3 linked regions of the Oreochromis niloticus genome follow. The protein of the gene in region 2 binds, or shares a complex with, the protein of the main gene of each other region. Links are inferred from orthologs where the notes say so. Each region holds a gene or a part of one and is shown on either strand. Other genes may lie near its edges.

What was found. Proteins that work in one complex are often made in the same cells at the same time.
Region 1: nup160 (region 2) and nup85 share a complex: the UniProt entries of both Homo sapiens proteins name them as parts of the nuclear pore complex. The link is inferred for Oreochromis niloticus from reciprocal best matches to the Homo sapiens genes NUP160 and NUP85.
Region 3: nup160 (region 2) and nup107 share a complex: the UniProt entries of both Homo sapiens proteins name them as parts of the nuclear pore complex. The link is inferred for Oreochromis niloticus from reciprocal best matches to the Homo sapiens genes NUP160 and NUP107.

The regions. Positions count from the first base shown.
Region 1 is NC_031969.2:17,372,224-17,379,851, reverse strand, and holds the start of nup85 (nuclear pore complex protein Nup85), read right to left. Parts: upstream 3,010-7,628; 5' UTR 2,727-3,009; exon of another isoform or gene 2,723-2,726; intron 2,627-2,722; coding exon 2,594-2,626; intron 2,211-2,593; coding exon 2,120-2,210; intron 1,478-2,119; coding exon 1,321-1,477; intron 1,179-1,320; coding exon 1,108-1,178; intron 945-1,107; coding exon 901-944; intron 614-900; coding exon 544-613; intron 454-543; coding exon 332-453; intron 200-331; coding exon 65-199; intron 1-64. Other genes in the region: small ubiquitin-related modifier 2, read left to right, coding at 3,539-3,559, 5,828-5,959. UniProt on the Homo sapiens protein: Essential component of the nuclear pore complex (NPC) that seems to be required for NPC assembly and maintenance. As part of the NPC Nup107-160 subcomplex plays a role in RNA export and in tethering NUP96/Nup98 and NUP153 to the nucleus.
Region 2 is NC_031972.2:2,109,270-2,116,409, forward strand, and holds the start of nup160 (nuclear pore complex protein Nup160), read right to left. Parts: upstream 3,004-7,140; 5' UTR 2,934-3,003; coding exon 2,843-2,933; intron 2,403-2,842; coding exon 2,294-2,402; intron 2,220-2,293; coding exon 2,009-2,219; intron 1,351-2,008; coding exon 1,128-1,350; intron 1,052-1,127; coding exon 861-1,051; intron 773-860; coding exon 536-772; intron 450-535; coding exon 352-449; intron 238-351; coding exon 153-237; intron 75-152; coding exon 6-74; intron 1-5. UniProt on the Homo sapiens protein: Functions as a component of the nuclear pore complex (NPC). Involved in poly(A)+ RNA transport.
Region 3 is NC_031981.2:19,599,197-19,606,722, reverse strand, and holds the start of nup107 (nuclear pore complex protein Nup107), read right to left. Parts: upstream 3,010-7,526; 5' UTR 2,862-3,009; coding exon 2,854-2,861; intron 1,590-2,853; coding exon 1,507-1,589; intron 1,501-1,506; exon of another isoform or gene 1,406-1,500; intron 1,297-1,405; exon of another isoform or gene 1,049-1,296; intron 847-1,048; coding exon 751-846; intron 656-750; coding exon 561-655; intron 74-560; coding exon 1-73. Other genes in the region: slc35e3 (solute carrier family 35 member E3), read left to right, coding at 6,238-6,630, 6,766-6,876, 6,956-7,015. UniProt on the Homo sapiens protein: Plays a role in the nuclear pore complex (NPC) assembly and/or maintenance. Required for the assembly of peripheral proteins into the NPC. May anchor NUP62 to the NPC. Involved in nephrogenesis.

The sequences.
Region 1 (7,628 bases), on a different chromosome or scaffold from region 2:
AAGCATGATTAAAACAATTTCAGCTATCATTCAAAGGAAATAAACCACTGCATTTTCATCTTACATTGTAGAAGGGCATCTTGCTGAGCAAGGTATCCATCTGCTTGTACATGCTCCTGGCAGCAGGCTGTAAGGTGCCCTGTTTCACCAGCATCTGTCTGACTTCTTCCAACCTGCCCTGCAGCACATAACTCACCACCTGCACAGCACACACATGTGATCACTCAGGTCTCTCCAGAGAATTCATAACAGACAAAACACAGATGAAGCAGCAAATGCAGAACACCAACAGTGGAGATGTAATTTTAAAGATGTAACATGCTGCACCTACCACGTCCCAGTAGTCGTGGTGCTCAGCAGGGCTCTCACTTTGGAGCACCTCTCTGGCCCTCTCGTCCACGTCAGCCTTATGTAACCTTACCCAGTCCAGCAGGTGGAGCAACAGGGAGCCTGCTGAAAACACAGACACAGCCATGTTGCAGATACGTTTGTTTGGGTGTTTCTACAACCCCAAAAATCCAGTCATAAGATGCGGATTCCAACCTGGAGCAGCATCGATGAACAGCACTTCACACAGATTCCAGATCAGTTCTATGGCCAAAAGAATGGACACCTTTAACAAAACAAAGCAGATCAGGGTCAGGATAATGCCACTAAACAATGCAACGAAATGTACATCTGAGTAAAAAACTGAATGTGGATTCTTCCTCACTAACTGAGCATTAATGTCCCCTTTCAAATACAGGCAGTTTGACTGTGGTCATAAAACCCACAGAGCTGTGCCACGCTACTCAATTAAATCATGACATTATTAGTCAATTACTGACAGAGACACTCACACATGCTCTGTATGTGGACTAGTCCAGATAACGTTACTGCCACACAAACATTAGTACTTACCTGATTTCCACACTGAGTGGCCAACTCTACATTTCTGGTAGAAACTGCAAAAAGGAAAAGTTGTTTAGTGAGTAATCACACACATTTCCTTTGTTTTTATTGTATAAACAAGACTATAAAATAGAAATTTGAAAAAACTGCCAAAACTTTTATGGTTACATCAAATTGAAATTTTTTGCCAAAAGAAGTATATTTCAACAGTATTACCTGCAACTTGCTGAAGTTCCTCCATACAAGCACGGATCACGGATCGATAATTTTTGCTGATACTAACAAATCTAAGGAGTAAGGCAGAGGTAAAATTGTAAAACATACAAAGTGGGTGCTGCTTTGTGTGACTTTTTCAACTATTGTTATGCCACCGATATGCAATCCAACAATATGAACAAACAGAGGTGGGATTGCACCACGCGTCCTTACTGGGGTTTTTTACTCTTGCTAGGGAGTTCCTCTCTAATTGTCTGCAGGCCGACGAAGATGTGGTGAGACTCGTTAAAAAGCTTGCGTAAAATGGGGGAATATATGTCCTCATCTTTCCTGATCTCATGGATGAATGAGCAACCTGATCCTGAAGCACCTGAAACAAAGGCAGGTGGTGAAAGAACAACAGTAATATTATAGTTATTGTCATTACACATATAAAACAAAATTTAAATGTCTGAAAAAAATGGCTCAAAATATGTTTATTGAAAAATGTATATATGCACATGTCTAAAAGTAATCATAAAAACTATAGTAAAACACATCAAACAGTGCTATGAAAAAGTTACCTAAACAATAAACTAAATTAAAACAATTCTGCCAAGATGAGTGGGTACAGCGATGTGAAAGACTCGCTGCCAGTTATCCCAAATGCTTGATTGCATTACTTGCTGCCAACAGTGGCACAGTCAGTTACTAAGTTTGGGGGCAATTACCTTTTTAAGAAAAAAACAAAAACAAAACAAAACACAACAACAGGGCCTGATAGCACTGATTGCCTTTTATATTTCATCTGGTCATCAAAAATCAAAATGTGTTTGATAATATGAAACATGTAAGTGTGACAAACACGCAAAAAAAAAATAAGACATCAACAAGCGGAAAATACTTTTTCACAACATTGTAGCAGACATTTCACAGGCATTCACTACACCATTCATTCTCTTAAAAAGAAAAGGAGAAACAGAGGGAAACTGTGAAAGCATACATGGTGTCCTGTGCTAATTTTGAAACATACCTGATGCTTTGTATAGTGTCTCATATACAAGAATATCACCAGGACCCCATGCAAATCCCATGTGCTTTCCATCACTGATTGCAGGGATATTCTGCAATTAAAAAAGGAGAAACACTGTTACTACACTGAAAATGATGTGAATAACATGATGAGGGTTAAAATTAAATCATTCCGTTTCAGATTTAATTATAATATTATGTGAGAAGGTTGAGTGGTGACTGAGACATGGTCTAGCTATATTACTAACTCAAACTGTAGTTAATGCTGCTCGTAATTCTAACTCATCTTCTTATAATCTTGCCACTTTTATACTTGTGACATGGCTGAGTGTGTGCCCCTTTCCATTTCTTGACAACTTACAATATAAATATTCAAACGGGTCGTTAAAATAGGTGTTTGCGAAAGTTAGCCTGTTAGCAAAGCCATTTAGTGCCAATGAGGAGTTAAAAGCACTAAGCTACAGTGGCTACTTACAGTAATAGTGGGCTCAACGTCTACCTCCTCCATCTGGGAACAATATCATCGACACAGAAAAGACAACAATGTGAACTTTTTTGGCTATAAACACGCCATGAACTGCAAATGTGGACCGGTACTGCTTACGCGCCTCGCTCTTTCAGTCGAAAGCACCTGCTGCGCATGCGTTACGATGTCACCGAAAGGGGTGCCCGTCTACCTGCCTGTTTTTCCGTCGGCTGAGCTTGACTCGGGATTTTGGATTTATCGCGACAAATGCAGAAAATACAGCTTATCACTAACTTTATAACTGCCTCCCCGGACTCACCTACGAGAGGTCATTACCAGCATTAAGAAGCTGGGTTTGTCTTTTGCTATCCACAAACATGCTACCCACACTAATGTCTCCAATTGAATCTGTGAAGAATCAGTGCAGCTTTGCCCTGTACTGTTACAGTTTGAGTTCGTAAAGGCCACCATTGGTTCAGTACACCTACACATCACCATCAGGCAAAAACAAAAAAACAAGATGGCCACTGGTATTTAAAGGGTTAAAACGAAAAAGGAAATGGAAAAGTGCACATTTGGCTCTCCCCATGCAGTGAGGATCATGTGTGGTGATGCTGACTGAACTATGCTGCACCCATGCGAGCTCAGCAGGGCGATAAGGGGTATTTAATGAGATAACCGCTTCTCAAAACCTGAAAACAAAAGGGAAAACATCGCCGTGCGCGTGCACGTGCATCTGCCTGCCTCTTTAACGCGCATTGTGACTCTCCCGCCCTTGCCCAGACTGCGCTTTCAACCTCGTGACTACTCGGTGTCCACTCAACGCTCGTTGAGGTGGACGCGCATGGGCGCGTGGCCGCGCACGTTCGGTTGTAATAGTCTAAACGGGCACGTGTACGTGCGCGTACTCGTGTTCTTTGTGTGGCAGTGTAGAGAAGCGCCAAAAGAGTGACCATGGCTGATGAAAAACCAAAGGTGAGTGTCTCCACAGTGGATTGAAATGCCAGTTTACTCCGCCTGATTTTTTTTGACACGTGCGTGTGTAGAAATACGGTTATTTCCGCATGTTTCGCTGTGCCTTTTTGCAAAGTTACAAGCTGAAATTCAACTACTAGCTGTACCTACTTTGATAGACCGGAAGGTTTGTGAACGCGCATCCAATGGCGCGCGGACCTCTTTCTGCTTGATAACACACAGCCAACCAGCTGGTGTCATCCCCACTGCATGCCTCATTTCGCCTGTGTGTGTGTGTGTGTGTGTGTGTGTGTGTTTGTGTGTGTGTGTGTGTGTGTTTGCGTTTGCGTTTGCGTTCTTGCATGTGTGAATGGCTTGTGCCACTGTGGGAGAGTGTACCGGTGAGAATCTGTTGGTGCCACTGAAACTATATGAATCATCACTGTGGTGATCTCAGGCTCACTCTGAGTCTGCAGGCGAAGCGAAAAGGGAGGATTTAAGATTTAAATTTTTTAAATTTTAAATTTTGTTTAATCCGAGAAATAGTTTGTATACAGTATTGTGCAAAAGTCTTGAGCCATCCCTCATTACTCTCTGTTTTGCCTACTCAGTGATCATACCCAAGTTTTCCAGGTCTTTCGTGTTTTTTCCTATTTGGAAAACACATTTCTTTAACTTACTTTTTTTATGCCACAAAAGGCTTAAAATTGTGTTTTTGCACCAACAAAGTGATTCCCACTTTGGGAAAAGACCTAGCATATCTCAGCACTGTGTACAGTGTGTCCTTACATTTTAGGAAATTGGACAAGTGGAGGACAAAAAAGGTTACAGACTTTAAGATGAACAGATGATCAGCATCTGAAATTCATGCCCATAAGAAATGGGAAAAATTCGGCAAAAACCTGACACAGGACCTGAGGCATGCACCTGGACCTTCAGATGATCCATCTACTGTCCTCTGAAGCCTCATCAGAAATGGCAAGAAGCCATTTTCAAGGAAGAGAAAAACGAGGAGAAAAAGCTGAGGTATCAAAATTAGACAAGAACTGAGATTTATAATTTTTTTTGATTTAAATCATCAATATGTACAGAGGAGGTCAAGAGAGAGGTACAGCAGTGAGTGTCTACATCCATCTGTCAAACACAGTGGAGGCTCTGTCATGGTTTGGGTCTGCATTTCAGCCAATGGTGTTGGGGGATCTTGTCACAGCTGATGGAAACACAGAAAAGTACCGTCAGATTTTGATCCACCGTGTAATCATCTGGAAAGCATCTGATTGGCAAAAGGCTCATTTTTGAGCGCAGTAAAAGCACACCTTGGATAAAAAAGAAAATAATTTTTTTTAAAAACAGTGGAACACAATGTCGGTGATGGGTTGGTCTCCCCAGAACCTGAACCTCAACATTATTGAAATAGTGTAGCATCATGTTGAAAGAGATTAGACCAAAAAGCAGTCAACATCCAAAGAAGAGCTTTGAATGTCCTTCAAGAACCTTGGATAACTACCTAGACTACTTAAAGAAATTACAAGAAGGCTTTCCTTGGAGAGTTCAGGCTGTGTTGGAACAATAAAGTCTGGTCATATGAAATATTGATTTTCAAGCTCATACTGTATTCTCAAATACGTTTGCATGTTTCAATAAATTGCTGCAACTATTTGCCATTATCCTAACAAAATATAAGAAATGAGTGGTGGCTCAACACTTTTGCACAGCACTGTATATCTAAACAATTTCAAAATATGCAAATCAAACTGGTCGCGCATTCTCCAGTCCTGGGGAATTTTACGCCTTTGGGCTTATCAACCTTCCTTTTATGGATGCTGACATATCTTTCTGGCAGTTACACATTGTGAAAGTGAAGTCAAACTCATAGCAGTGCTGCTTTTGTACAGCTCAGTCTTTTCCTACTCTGTTTTGGCGATAATGACACGGCTGGGTTGATACTGACATTTGCCTGCTTTCTTCCTCCAAAAGAAAATTGATCAAGAATCAATAAAGAATTAGCACAATTGATAATGTCATGGATATTAATAAGCTCTTGCCAATATTCTTCCCTAGCCACCTGGTGAGCTGTTTAGGTGTGAATTCATTATTTCATCACGCTTCTGCAAAATTAAAAGACCACCGAAGGCACTAAAGGGACTGAAATTACGCATTTAATAATAACAGAAAATACCGTGCAGCCTTTTCCCCCTGCAAACCTGTAACTAGTGCAATGTTCTGGTTAGTCAAAGTCATTTTTTTTTGTTCCTTCACTGTGTTTCTCTCTGTGCTTTTATCCCTCAGGAATCAGTGAAGACAGAAAACAATGAACACATAAACCTGAAGGTAGCGGGTCAGGATGGATCTGTAGTGCAGTTCAAGATCAAAAGACACACACCGCTCATCAAACTCATGAAGGCCTACTGCGAGAGACAGGTGATTATGGCCCTGAGGCATTACACTAACACTGATCATTTCCTAAATGGGCATAGATCTTTATAAGCAGAGTGTAGCTACAGTTAAATAGACTCCTTGTTATTTTCTGTTCTCACCACATGGGGGGAACTCGACTTGGAGTATTATTTCCCCAGAAATATCTGTCGAGTGCTCCTCTGTACACCTCTGCTACTAATCATATATACACTTGATGTAATTGATAGTTAGCTGTTGGATTGTATTCTAAATAACATGTTTAGGTGTTATTAACAATAATCCTGCTTTCTTTTAATTGACCTTTACCCTGCATCGCTGCACACCATTTACAGTTGGCAAAAAGACACGGGTGTATAGAAATAACATTTACTGGGAGAGTTGCCTGCCCTCTGTGGAGCAAGGCTTGCAAGTGCTTACAGGTTATGCTGTTTTAACATCATAAGGAAATCATTACTGGAGTTACTTAATGTTTTAGAGGCCCGACTTTGAAGTTTGCACACAGTTAATCGTGTTTTACAACCGAATAGGATACAATTAAACCATTTACTTTCAATTCTTTGACACTTTTCACACATGCATTTAATGACTGCAGATTATATGTTTGTATTCTAGATGCCAAAAAAAGCAGTTATGCCAGGGCATCTTAAAATTTACCGTAAAATATATGCAGGCATTTTAAAAAGAAGGTTTTCATAGGACTATGTGCGATCCTCTGAAAAACTAAGTACACCTTTACTACTTCAATAGGGATCAAGGGGACAAGTAGCAGCCAGGTGTTGCTAATCAACTTGTACTTGATTAACTCATGCCAACTATTAAGCGAGGTGGAGGGGTCACGATTTGGGTTTGTTTTTAAGCCACAGAGCCACAGGCCGTTTGTCTGACAGCTAAAGCTTGGCCAAAAGTCTCAAATACTTTAATCACATTTAACAGACACATCACGTGCTAAAAGATCCATCCATCCATCAGACAGTAACTCATCACAGTTGTTGTTTCACTTTTCCTTGAAAAGGTTTCTATTGCAGTTCTTCTCTTCCTCCTCAAATGCAGTTAAGGTCTACAGCTTTAATGCAAATACCACCTTGATAGCGTAGCTTTAACGCTTTACGTGGCTCTTGCATCCCTTAAATGAACCTCCCTTATCGTCATCTGTGATTTCACAGTAATCGCAGAAGACATCTAATCTTTTCCTCCTGCTGTTATGGATTAGCTCAGATTTTAAGCTGTTCTCTGCCAAGCTACTTGCTGTAATGGCATGCAGGAATTTTGACTTTTGTATGAATTAGCACTGCACTGAGCATCACTCTGATTCTCTATTAATTGCAGCTGTGTTTGCATTGCTACAAAAGCAATTCCCAAGGTTTTCTAAAAGAGCTGTGCACAAAAGTAAAAAAATATGTAATAGAACATGAGGTCTGAGATCCTTTTTATTTGAAAGTCAAATAAGGGTTCAACTTTGTGGAAGAATGGAAACCCAATCACAGTGTTATCTGTTCCTTGGACTCCCATCAGGGTAAAAGAGATGTTTGTCACACAGCTCTTTTTTTAAAAGTACAGCCAGAACCAGATGGTTATCATTATTCCTTCATTTCTGCTTCACAGCAAGACATGTTTTTTTTTTCTGTCTCTGAAACGTCAGCTGCCTTATCTTCAACATGAGCGTATTATTGTC
Region 2 (7,140 bases):
CTCACCTGCAGGGCTTTCACAATGGCCGAGGCTGTGAAACGAAGGGGAGAGAAGAGAACCTCGAGATATGTCTCCTGTCAGGGGGTCAGAGGTCACATGGTCAGCACTACCTGTTCATTAAAACACTGGTTACTGGTCTGAACTGGTCTCACCCGGGGGTCCAGGTCCACTCCGATGTGGATTTCTTCTTCGGGTGGAGGCTGAACAAACACCTGGTTCCACTGAGCCGCCGTGTTGCTGTGAAACATGCCGACAGGTGAGGAACATGTGCGGAGACAGATGATGGAAACAGGTAGAGAACATGGAAATATCAGCAGAGGACAGGAGGAAGACACTGGCATTTCGACTCACTGCTCGAAGCTGATGTATTTGACCACGGTGGCGTTGGATTCGTCCACCCACAGAGCCCAGATGTCCGAGGAGGTCAGCGTGAAGTCCACAAGCGTCTCCTGTTCACAGAGAGCGGTTCAGAATGCAGAAAGTAACCACAAACACAAAAACGAGGCTCGCCCCCTGGATCCGCCCGTGCGTTCACCTGTGTACTGAACAGTGTGGAGATGTGCTCAAGGCTGTAGCGGTTGTTGTCTGTGGCGACCAGCTGCAACACGGTGAACTGCCCCCGCTGAGGGACGGCGAGGTAGACGCACACGCACAAGCCTGTGGTGGAGGAGAACGCCAGGCGCAGGCGGTGACCATGGCCCGGCAGGCGCTTCACGCCCTTACACGCCGGCATGTACTCCAACATGTCCGCCTCCAGCAGACAGCCATGCTCCTGAGGGGGCGGAAGTCACGTCAGCACATGGCGACTCAAACGTTACACATCAACAATGTGTTTGTGTGCGTGTGTGTGATGTCATCACCCTGAGCGACCACATGCGCAGCCGGTGGTCCTGACACAGCGCAAAGATGAAGGAGTCTTCCTCCAGCTCCCGCACGGCCAGGCTGAGCACGAGGTCGGCCGGGCTGTGCTCGCCGCGGATTGCCGTGGGCATCCACCCGGACAGCCGCTGCATCACAGAGCTCCTCTTCAACTCCAGCACCGACATGTTGCCTGGAAACGGCGAGCACACGTCTTAAAATCCGGCCGAGGTACCACGCCCACATTAAACATAGAAATTCCCCCTCACCCTGAGAATCGGGCGATGGCAGGGTGACCACCGTGATGCCTCCTGCAGGAGAAGCCAGAGCGAAGTGTGCGTCTCCGTGGTAACTGAGCCAGGCGAACGAAGCGCCGGGACTTGCCGTGGTTCCCACTGAGCTGGGGATGAGGGCGCTGTGGGCGGGGTCCTGCAGGCTCAGCTTCCCCACATCAGTGAAGATGGACTGCATGTGCAACTCTGTGACCAGCTCCTACACACGCACAGAGGAGTGTTCGAGGTCAGTTATCTCGTTAACAGTTACCGTAGTAATTGTGCTAACAGCTGTATGATTGTATCATTTGCACACACGCGTATTTTCTACTGTGTATGGTGTCCATTTGATTTGATTAGTACGACTTTTTGTCCTGCTCAGAGCTGCCCTCTGGTGGGCGCCTCAGGCCAGTCAGGTCCCACACCTCCAGACTCTAACAGCGTCCATTTGGACACTTAACAACAGCCTACCCCCACCCACCTCACCATGGTCTGAGTGTCCTCCATCACTCACACACAGACTCTGTTCAGTCCCTTTGCTCTCCATCGTGCGCCTTCCTCTGGTATTTTTAAAAACATTTCTTCTGTTTGTTATGTTTTGCTGATTTCTACATTGATTGTAATATTACATTTCACGTTCACCTAAATCTGTTTCTATGGTAACCATGGTAACTATGGTAATCTCACACGGCTGTTGGTAGTTTGGTATCAGACCTTAAAGTCTGAGTCATCTGTCGTGTCCATAGTGACACTTTCATTAATCAATTGATAACGGTAATCAGTAATCAACAACCGCACGCTGTCCTGCAGCTGGTGGTGTGGCTTCTTCACGGACCATAGGACAGCATGCAGGCTGAGGGTCACCGTCAGGTACTCACGCTGCGGTACATGCGTGTGGGGTGGGGCAACAGCAGCCTGTGGACGCTGTGATTGGTGGAGATGAGGATGACGACGTTGCTGAGCGTCTCCTGGATGGTGACTCCTCCGGGCAGGACAGCACAGTGGGTGAAGCGGAGCCGGACGGCGTTGTTCAGCAAGTTGGTGTCCAGAGACTGCTCCACCAGCACCACCGAGTCCCCAGACGTGGACCTGCATGAGTGAGAGTGTTAGCAGAGAACGGCTGACAGCACCTGCAGAGCACCTGGAGAGCAGCTGGTACCCACCAGTGGATGAACCTGTTGCTGATGACCGACAGCAGCTTCCCGCTCTCCTCATAATGAAACGCTCCCGCGCTGTCAGGAAACTTCAGGCTGCCAGGTGCTGCGCTCACACCTGCAGACCGGAAAGACAGGTGAGTCCGGTTTGAACAGGTTCTTGACCTGCAGGTGTCTGAGGCTCTGATCAGCAAGTCACAGTGTTTATCAGATCAATAATCAGCTGCTTCCGGAGGCGCAGACACCATCGACCGCAGGTCAAGGTCACGTGATCAGCGCGGGTTCACGCGTGACAAGGTGCGCAACAGGTGAGCAGCTAACGGAGCTAGCTGATACTAAACGGAGACGGAGGAAGATTTACTCGCTCGCTTGCTCAGCAGTGCGCGCTCACCTAGTCAGGTGAGAGTTCGGAAGAAAAAACAACAACAACAGAAACACCTCCAGGCCGCGCGCGGCTAGCAGGAAGCTAACACGCTAACGCCAGCAGGTACGGGCCGTTAGGCTGTTAGCTCCCTGCTAGCCGCCGTCAGGGGCACGCAGGTGAAGTGCAGGAGTTACCTAGATTCGCAGTGAGCTCGCGCGGCCTCCGCGCGGCCTCTCTCTCGAACCCGCAGATCTCGATGTAGCTGCGCTCCAACGCCGCCGCCATCTTATCCTCGTGCCGCTGCGGCCGCGCGCTGCGCTTTCAAACCCACTTCCGCCTCCAGCTCCTTCTTCTTCTAAGATTCATTTAAGGTAGGAGAACCACTGCGAGGCGCGCCACCTGCCGGATCGGATGACTGACGTCATCATTAAACAATACAAATCCGACTCCGTTTTTTTTGTATGTCTGCTTTGACCAATCAGAGCCCAGAAGGAAATTAACATTATTAGATGTTCTCATTAGATTTTATATGTGTGTGTGTGTGTGTGTGTGTGTCGGATTTTGATTGGCCAACACATTTTGGGGATGGCATAGGCACCGATCGGTTTTCTATCGCCCATTTGCTGGGAGTAAGGGCGCCCTCTGTTTGCGAGGTGCGCCTGCTGCTTGCTGCACAGGGAGGAGAGGGCGGGGCGGCGGTATGGGCTCAAAATGTGGTCATAAATATTTTGTACTTGTAAATCAGGATTTGTATGTGTAAAAAGAATTTGTGTGTGTGTAAAAAAGATTTGTATGTGTAAAAAGAATTTGTGTGTGTGTGTGTAAAAAAGATTTGTATGTGTAAAAAGATTTGTATGTGTAAAAAGAATTTGTGTGTGCGTAAAAAAGATTTGTGTGTGGACTTAGCCAAAAAAACCCTGCAAGTTACAAGTACGAATTTTGACCCTATTTTTCTTCCTTTCATCTGATTGGTCAATGTCATGTCAATCACAAATGTAACAATCCAATCAGAGAAGAGATGGGTTTGGCTGTCGGAGGGGCGCTTCTTTGAACTGCAGGTCCTTGAAGGGAATAAATGCCCTTTTATATGCCAACCATTGACTGTAGAAAACATGGACGACGCGACAGCTCTCCAAAAATGAAGCCAAAATGTCTCTATCGCCCCCTGGTGTCTGGCTGCAGTATAGGTCATAAACCCCGCCTCCTCCATGTTAGCGGATGGGACTGGGGTCAGACTAAAATAAATTTATTCTCCTTAGATAATTTTTTTCCAAAGATTCTGTCTTTTGTTATCAATAGTTCTCATCATGCTGATTGATGTCCAAGGGGTCTCCTTTCCCATAAGTTTGATTCTCATTCCTACAGCGGCGATGTTAAATTGGGGTGAAACGTCATCATAGCGGCTTTGACTGACAGCTGCAGTCACGGAAGAAACTTGCGTATCTGTGTGCGGGAATAGCAGATAGAGCGTAGGCTCTGAGAGGAGGGCCAGCGTTTACGTTCTGAAAACACGACCGAGTGTTTTAACTTGACAGCCTGAGGTGTTCTTCAGTAAACTGGACTACCCGACAGAAGGACCCGAGGCCCCGCTGCACTTTTTCGGTAAGTTAATCGTGTTTGTAAGCTAATCCGTAACTACCGTCCTTAGCTAGGTCCTGAGACCTAGCTAGCTAAAATGAGCACTCGGCTGTCAGGGTTCGTTTAGCTAATCTGTGCAGGTGAATGAACTTACTAAAGAAATTAAGAGAAACGTTCCGGGCTAATCAGTCACTAATTACTGTTACTGCACTTTTATTACAAGTATTATACTGTAAAAGCAACAGGCTGCACGCTGCTTCAGCTCCTGTGCAGAGCTGAATATCAAATATATGCAAACAACAGCATGTTTTCAGTCTCTTGCCACATCTGTAAAGACAGTAACATTTTTTTAAAAGCTTGTACTTCAGTAACTCCTCATTAATCAGGAACTATGGATTAAAGGACTGTAGAGTACTGTAATACTGAAAAAAATGTAAGAGAAGAACTTCAGATCCTGAGTGTGTGAGGACAGAAGAATCAGCTTTATTTCAATTTTGAGGGATAAAATTTATATTTGAGTTTGTGATGGTTCTGTTCTCTTTGTGATTACAGGGGCTGCCCTCAGATTCAGACCTCAGCACCACCCAGTGACAGCAGACAGATCATCCAACATGTTCACATGTTAACTGCAAAATGAACTGATGAAAACAGTACAAAGGTTAAAGTACCACATGTGCTGTCAGTGAAAGCTGCAGCTTTATTGATAAAGTTAAAAACAAAAACCCAAAAGGATTAATCACTCATGTAACTGTGTCACTATATATCAGCATTAACAGGACCTCAGTTTGGTGTTTCACAAAGCTGCTGATCTCAGACCTGCACAGCTTCCGTTTTAAACACTTGATGTACTCAGCTGCATGAAGAGCATATGAGATTTTCTCTGGCACAATTAAATAAAACCTGATGAAGGTCAAAGGTCGTCACTTGTATGTTGAACTACAAACTTGTCATCTGGAATTCTTTCACAGTTTTTTGCAGATAGTGTGTTATTTACCATAAAGTGATTCAGAGTTATTCATACCAGAGTAACCAGAGAGGATCATATATTTTTAAATATATAACTTTCTACAGGACTGAATATAATATCTTTATGTAAAAGTCTGGAGCCTCTGGGGAGTATCCGAGTATTTATAACATTACACAAACCAAAGGTCTCCATCACAGTGTTCATGAAATGCTGGGTTTATCCATCTCCTGGATCGGGCCTATGGAGGAGTGCTGAAGATTTCCCTGTGAGGGAGCTGCTGGTGAAGATCATGAGTCCTGCTTGATCAATGCGATGAGCTTCAGTCTTCCTGGTGTTTCTTAAATGAAGCCTCTCTCAGTCAGTCAACAGAACTTCTGGCACAGGACAGCTGTGATGAAAGAAAAGGAAGAAGTTTCTCCAAACCTCTGGACCCAGGAAACCCAGCTTGGTCCTGATGGTCTCCCTCACTAGTTTCTCCCCAGGGTGAATGTAGCTGTTGATATAATATGGACTCTGTTATTAAATGAAAAGAACAAATTAGACTACACTACTGAAACGTTCTGCTGATGTTTTTAAAGTTTCCATGTTACCAGGCTGTAGAGGGCTCTGAAGATTTAAACCGTTTTAGATCCATTACACTCACAGTCTTATGTTAAAATCTCAAAGGACAGCATTATATTTTTGATATTAACAGTAACTCTGGGCCTCTGTAGAGTGTGCAGATTATCTCATCGCTGTCTAAAAATGGATAAAAACAAACATAAGAAGTGCTGAATCCTTCAATAACACAGACTATTAGAGTAGCAGGTGTGTAGCATCTAGCTAGCAACAAGCCTCCAACACAGCGCGTATGCTAGCGGCTAATCTAGCAAACGAATTAACAACAAAGTGATTTTAGAACTATAAGATGATAAGCTGTGTGTCTTTTTATAACAGTGACATGGTTGTATTTACCTTAATTAAACGAGTCATCAGTCGCGGTAAACCAGCAAAAAAACTCGAGCAGCCGGGCTACGTAAAAAGTGTAGGGGGGCGTGTTTACGGTCAAGTCCAGCGGGTGTGTGGGCGGGAGCGTTACACAGTCGCTCCACCTCAAGTCACTACTGCGCAGACTCTGGCTCCAAATTTGCAAGATGGCAGCCTCCACAAGCGGGGTATTTTGGCTTCATTTTTGCACAATGGGAGGAGGCGGAGTCGCGTCGTCCATGTTTTCTACAGTCAATGATGCCAACCCAGCATTTTCCTTCATCACCATGAAGGAAAACAGTCTGTGGTCGTCCGAGTTTGGTGATTTTTGTGTCACAGGTTTACGTGCTTAATACAGGGACTTCCACAGCCTTTTCAACAGCGCTGCAGACCGCGGGGAGGGGGCAGTGTTTTGGAAATGACAGTCTTCACTACAAAGCTTTCTTCGTTATGAATTAGCATACATGTTTTTATTGAACATCTAAAGAACTAGCAAAAAAACCAAACTCTTGTAGAGGACATAAAGTCAGAGATAGAAACGACAAGGAGCAGGTGCATTTAGTACAGGTAGAGCTGCTGCAAAAAACCACAGAGCTCAGCAGCCAGCGCAACAAATTCTGGATCCTTTGCTTTTAGTTAGCATTAGCAGCACATCCTGCGTCTGATGTGAAAGGACTTTTATGCTGCGCATTAGCAGCACATCCTGCGTCTGATGTGAAAGGACTTTTATGCTGCACACTGTGACTCACAGCAATGGTCCCGGGTCAACCCTGACTTTGTGTTAAACTAATCCTAAAGTAATAATGGTATTTCTAACCACTGACATACCACAACTTTATCCTTTCAACAGCTGCTGAAAGTTAGGGGACCTAGCTGCTATCGGATATTTATATAGAGATCCTCCAGCTTCAAACTGTATTACCCTTCAAGGACCTGCAGTTCAAAAAAGCGCCCCTCCGACAGCCAAACCCATCTGTTCTC
Region 3 (7,526 bases), on a different chromosome or scaffold from region 2:
AGAAACTTGTGTTCTCCAGACCCGAAACAGGCGACGTGTACATGCTGTTAGTCCAATCACTGTCGTCCAGATTCTACACACACACACACACACACACACACACACACACACACACACACACACACACACACACACACACACACACACACACACACACACACACACACACACACACACACACACACACAGCATCATCATGGAGTTAGCAGTGAGTTCAACATAATATGATTGTAAGTAATACATCATTAAGTTCAAGAAGGGTTTGACAAAACTGATACACTGAAGGTCTGGAGTATCTGAGCAAGCTAACTGGTCAGCAGCTGGCCTGTTTGGGTTAGTGACAGCATTTCCACCAATCACAACTCAACTACCTAAACAAAACCCTCACTAATTAATATGTTTTTCTGCTGTCTGTATTTTCACATTAAAGAAAGTTTGTGACATCACTAATACAAAGAGACCGTTCTTTGTGTCATGGAAAACAGTAGAAGTGCGAAGAACTCACGTTTTCATTTATTTAACAAAATATATATACATGAATAGAAAAGTGTGTGTCTTACCAGACTGCTGAGTGCGTTTCTGGGCGTGTGTGTGTATCGAGGCGTTCGACCTCCTGGGGCCAAAATGGATGAAACATCTGGAACTCTGGGAGTAACTGAGACAAACAGATGAATGAGAAGAGAGTGGAGATTTAGTCAAATATAAATGCCTCTGATACCTGTGGGTCTGTCTGTCATATATCTATCTTACCTGCTTGTCTGAAGAGTGAAGCAGGTGTGTTCCTCAGCAAGGGCCGGGCTGGTGTCACTGTGGAAATGACAGGGCTGCCGCTACCGGGTGATGGGACTGACAGCAACAGTCAGGAAAACAAGCAGCTTCTACTTTATCAATCAACACTGTAGCAAACAACTCCACACAACAAAAACCCAGATAAATTAAGCTCTTCCAGTCTACTTATGCCACCATACTAAACACAGATGCAGGTGGCAATCAATCGGTCAGTTTAGTGCATTAGTAAAGTGAAATACAAAATCCACTTTTTTTAAAATAGAAATGAAGCATGAAGCACTTGCTTCATACTACAGAGCTTAACCATGACTCAATAATCACAGCAATTTCTGCACCATACAGTAACACACCAATGGCAGCTCATTTATAATCCAACCCATACACCATGTCCCACCTGGACTGTGTTTATGCGTTTGTGTGTGTAAGCTCCACCAAATGAAGCAGTCCAAACCAACCGACATTAATTGAACTAGGTTATCAAGCCCTCCAATTCTGTGACTCCACCATCTAAAATGGACAAGAGGGGACAAATCACAGTTTAAATCGTAGGGTTACAGGTTCCTGTTCCCATTTCAGAAAGGTGAATGTACCATAAAGCTTGCAGCTATATTTCCACCTTTCCCCTTTATTAAAAGACCCATCAGCAGCTGCTGGGGTGAATGGGTGGGTGTAGGGGCTGGACAGGAATCAGGTCAAAGTCTTTCTGCAGCAGGATACAGGCCACTTTCTTCCTCCTCCTGCGGGCAGCAACCGTTACCTCGTCGTCTCGAACCACCGGAGACGGCAGCTCACTCTGAGCCCTGAAGGACAAGATGAAGCACAAGAAAGCACATTACCTAGAGAATTATAAACATATTAATTTATGTGCAGTTCAGAGGCTTTTACACCACTGAATTTACATCTTTTTTCTTTCTCTGCTCTCTTTAGGGGTCGCGACATTAGATCATCTCCCTACCCGTCATCCTGTCCCTAAAATTCTCCTCTCCAAGTCCACCTTTACACCATCAATGAATCTCCTGAGGCCATCTTCAACATCCTTTGTCGAGTCCCTCCTCTGCACATGTTCAAACCATCTCAGCCTGAGCTGTCCTTGTATCTAATCCTGTCCATCCTGGTCACTTCAGCTTGACGACCTATTTTTTCAGTGCCACCATCTCCAAACCATACATTTTAGCAGGTCTCACTAAGATCCTGTAAACCTGCCCTTCCGTGAAGCCATATTGCTTCTTGCTTTTTAAGGCCCTCACTTCTTAGCTTCAGCATCTCTTTTCCCAGAGCTTCATGGTATGGCTCATCATCTTTATCTCTCTGTAGCCGACACAGCTCTGGACATCAACCTTGTTCTTGACATTACATTTAAATCTTTAAATTACTAGAAGCAGTCAAAAGAAGACAAAGGGCAATTTAATTTTCTAATCACTTATAAAAGGTTACTGTGGGTTCAACACAAAAAAGCCGTGGCACTTCCGACGGTTCTCTTTAAAAAACATTTTAGTCACTGGCTTTAACTGTGCCTAAACTAACAAGAAGCGTCACAGGTCTGTGTGAACCCATGCAATGTAAATAAAACAACTACAGCAAACAATTTGGCCATATATGGCTGATCTATATAGCTGAGAGCATATCAAATGTTAGTACTCATAAAACAACAACATATTGCAATCTTTATAACACTTAACGTAGTTCAGTTATAACCTAGTAAATCTAACTTTATGTAATACTTCCCTAATTGCAGTAGTTCTTCCAAAATACTGGCTGCTAACAGCTCTACTAAACCAGTAGTTCTTATTTTATTCACCCTGGAGAGCAGCTCTTGTTCCCGACTGTCAACGTACCCAAACCAGAGCATTTAGCCGGTTAGCCTCGCCATTCACTGTGAACGGCAGCATTAGCGCTGTTAGCATTGTTAGCGTCAGCTAGCAAAGTTGAAGTCCCTGAATTTAGCACACTAGCGGACTAATAAGAAGCCAACGGTCTGTAATCACCAGACACATGCACAACTAAACATACATAAGAATAAAATGTGTATAACTGCTGAATAACGCTTAAAAACAATGTTTTTACCAGTCCATAGCGGTGAGTTATCAGTTCCCGCTTCACGAGGTTTAACGGGGTTTCTTCTTCTACTTCTTTTCAATTCTCAGCAGACTGCGTCTCTTAATTCACACTGCTGCCCCCACGAGTCGCAATTAGATTGCATCCAGCCTTGTATATGTCTCCACTGTTTTTTGTAAACTTAAGTATTTTATTAATCATAGAAAAAAAAAAACAATCCAAATCTGATTACGTCCAGATCTATTGAATCACTAAAATAGAACCTGTCTGATGTAAGCTAAAAGATCTCAAAGCAACACATAATGCCACGATATAAAGAAATGGATAAGAACCAAAGTCACTGACATCTATCACTGTAGAAAGGGTTACAAAGATATTTCTAAGTCTTTGGGACTCCAGGTAACCACAGTGACATCTATTATCCACAAAACTTGCAACAGTGGTGAAAATTCCCAGGAGTTGCCAGCCAAAAAAACCTCCAAGAGCCCATCAATGACTCAACCAGGAGGTCACAAAAGCCCCTGAACAACATCTAAAGAACTGCAGGCCTCACCTTCCCCAGTTAAGGTGAGAGTTCATGATTCAACAATAAGAAAACGGCTGGGCAAAAATGGCGAGTTCCAAGGAGAAAACCACTGACCAAAGACGGGCCAAAGGCTAGTTTCGTATTAGCCAAGAAACATCTTGATGACCCCAAAGTCCACAGAATATTTTGGTGAAAATATACTTTTGGAAGGTTTAAGTCCTGTTACACCTGACATAAAACTAACACCGCATTTCATAAAAAGAACATCATACTAACAGTCAAACACGGTGGTGGTGTGATGGTCTGGGACTGCTGCTCTTTAGGTTCTTTGTGTGGTAGTTTGGACTTAAATCAGACTGAGATGCTTTGGCACGGACTTAAACAGGCTGGAAAACCCTTCATTGTGGCTGACTTAAAGCAATTCTGCAGAGGACTGGGCTCCACCCGGTTTTCTCTATGGAGTGAGACATCTGCCACATACACCACCTCTGCGCTCCTCTTCCCTCCGGTCCGTTAGCAGCCGCTGTTGCTTGATAGACACAAACGGTAAACGGTGTTAAACTGGGAGGAAGCAGGAACATACTCACTCACTCACTGGGTGTTTTTTTCTTCTCCTCCTGCTGGAAGTCACGGCTGTGTTACGATCTGCGGAAGAGCAGGGAAGACATTCCTCCGGCGCAGCAGCGGGGGTTTGGGCACTGCAGAGGCCGGGAGAGGAGATTCGAACGCCGGGGAAGACCGGTACCACTCCGGGGTTTGTTTGGCGGCAGCGAGGCAAGACGGAGGAGAAGCAGGGAGGCAGATGGAAAGATGACCCGAGGTAAACTTTATACAGTGCGTGGCAGACAGACAGAGAAGCGGATAAGTCTTTTTTTTTTTAAAAATATATACCACGTATCGTTTTAGATGTGAGTGGAGCTGTGAACGAGTAGCTCGACCGGTTTCCACCTAATGGTTTTAAGTAAGTCATAAAGTAAGACAGAGCATCAGGCAGAACTCCGTTATTTTAACCGTTAACCGTTACAAACGGCAAAATGTTCCCTCCGGTAGTCTGAAAGCTTGTAGAGGACTTCACGATTATTATGTTATTTACGACACTGGATTACAATTTAAGGAACTTTCTTCTGTGTGCTTTCAGTGTATTGGAGTAAAAACACCAATATTAATCTGTAATATTCAGTTAGGTCCATAACTATTTGTACAGCGCCACACCTGGAGTGGATTTTAAATTAAACACTGAAGATGTGATTGAAGCACAGACTATCAACTGGTTTATTAAAAGTAGTCCACTAACTGATTAGGAATTACAGACATAAACACAGTCTCCCATTTTCACAGCCTCGGAAGTAATTGGGCAAACTGATAAGCAGTTTCAAGGCCAGATGAGCCCTGCTCCCTCGCAGAAGATAAAAGATCTGGTTCTTTTTCCCAATACTGAATTTATGTTTTAAAGTTTTTCACTGGGGCGCTCAACGTGGGTTAACTGAAGGAGGCCATTATTACCCTAAATACACAAATAAATCTATGATAGAGAGCAGAAACTTCAGAAGTCACCAAGTCAACGCACTGCTCAGCCCAGCAGCACCTAAAGGCCCAAAAGGCCACTACGGACAATTAAAGTGGATAATAAAAACAACTTCATGACATCTAACCAAGTAAAAGACTCTTGAGGAGGCAGGTCTATCACAGTCAAAGTCTATAACTAAGAGATGACTCCATGAATGGAAATGGAGAGGATTTACAACAAGGTGCAAACTACTGGTTACTATTAATGCTTATTTTTGAAGTGATTGCTGACAGAAACATGAGGATGGATTGCAAAGTATAAAGGGTTGTACTCGCTGCTCACATTCAGACAAATGTCACAAAACCGATTAAATGGCTTCAAAGTGGAAATTCATAATGACCTAAAGAAGGCTGCAAAAGTAAACTAAAATAAAAATGTGATATTCTTCATTGGACATGTCAATCACCGGATCTCAAACCAATAAAACAGCCTTTCTGTGACTGAAGACAAAATTGAAATCAGTGAGACCCAATAAAACAAGCAGCAGCTGACAGGAGCTGAAGTAAAGGCATGGCGGAGCATCTCAAAGTAGTAAATGCAGCTTTTGGTGATCACTGACTTTCATCCAAGTATCAAAAATAATCCCTATATTTAAATTAGTTTGCTCAATTACTTCTGAGACTTTAAAAATGGAGGTCTATGTAAAAATATGATAATATCTTTACCTTCATATAGTTAATTCAGTACTTTGTTAAACCTTTTTGAATGAACTTTTTATTGTAGTTGTTGGATTCTCAAATAGAAAAACACTTATTTTAGTTGTAGCTTGCAGATAGATAATAATAATAATAATAATAATAATAATAATAATCCCTTGGGTAGGTTCCTCCGGGAAATTCAGGTTGATGGTAAACAAACAATGCAGGTGGAAGAGGTGTTAAAGTTCTATTACAAACTTAGTGGAGTCAAAGTAATAGATAAAACATGTCTGGACATCTTTCTGTTGAAGAGAAAAAATGATTGTAAACCTGTTTGGTAGAAATTTAAACTGGGGTAAAAATGGAACCCAACCCATGTTTCTAATCATAGGTAAACTGATTAATCTGCCCTGTCTGTGTAAAATTGACCATGAAAAGAATCCAGTAATGTTTGGACTATATTATTTTTTTGGTTCATCTAACTTGAATTTGCATTTCTGTATTAAAGCAGCTGTAAAAATCATGCATGGTACCATGAGCTTCTAGACTTTTTTTGTTTTAGACTTTCTAACACTCGTATCTCTCTTTCACCAGTGTGAGCAGCTCAGCTAAGTTCAACAAAGCTCCATCTGAGTAACTTTAACTCTGAGGCCTCCCAGATCATGGCTGCCAGCTTTTTAGCCGACAGGCGCATTGTCGCTGGCCTGCTGGTCAACCTGTTCTCCTCCATCTGTATCGTCTTCATCAACAAATGGATCTACGTACACTATGGCTTCCCCAACATGACACTGACCCTCGTTCACTTTGTGGTCACTTGGCTGGGACTCTACTTCTGCCAGAAAATGGATGTTTTTGCTCCAAAAAGCCTTCCGATTCGCAGGATTGTGTGGCTGGCTCTGAGCTTCTGCGGGTTCGTGGCCTTCACCAACCTTTCCCTACAGAACAACTCGATAGGAACGTACCAGTTGGCTAAAGCAATGACCACTCCTGTCATCATCCTCATCCAGACTACCTACTACAAGAAGACCTTCTCCACCAAGATTAAACTTACACTGGTTAGCAAAGCCCCATCTGCTTGTTAGAGCTGTAGAAACATGCCAATCTGAATGATTCTTGCAGGATACTGGGGTTTGGGTCACTTTGGGGTAAGTGAGAGACAATGTCAGCACAATCTGTTCCCCTCTCCTCAGGTACCCATAACATTAGGAGTGATACTGAACTCGTACTATGATGTGCGGTTCAACTTGCTGGGGATTGTGTTCGCGTCTCTTGGAGTTCTGGTGACATCACTTTACCAAGTGGTGAGTAAATGTATATGCTGACAAAACACTCCACAGAGACTGAAGTAAAGTCATTAACTGTTCTCCACGTTTCTCTCAGTGGGTAGGGGCAAAGCAACATGAGCTCCAGGTGAACTCCATGCAGCTTTTATACTATCAGGTGAGACCCAGCCACAAACCAAGTAAAAGATCACTGAATACTCAGTATCTAGTGTTAGATAATCTAATCAGTTTTCCTATGTAATGCTGCTTATTATGCGATGGGCTTAGAACTGGACTTAGGAATGCTTACTTTGCTTACCTTGAGTTGTTGGTCATTATTTGGGATTATTTTGTCTGTGGATTTTATAAGATGTTAGAATTTCTTTGGAACTTGATTTAGTTTGGCCTTACATTAAAACTGGAATTGGGACTTGTTATTCTTGTCTTGGGATTCTTAGAGACTTAAAAGTTTCATATTTGATTTGCAGGTTGCTGAATTGTGTCTTGATTTGGATTCGTGATATTTTCTTGGACCCACTGGTACAGAATTATATGGGACTTGTTACGAGTTGTCATCTAGAGTTGTGTTGGTACTTTCTGATACTTTCAGATGATTTAAGGCTTGTTGACATTGTCCTGTAACTTGCTGATATAAAGTATTCAGGACGTGTTACCGTCATGTAGGGCTT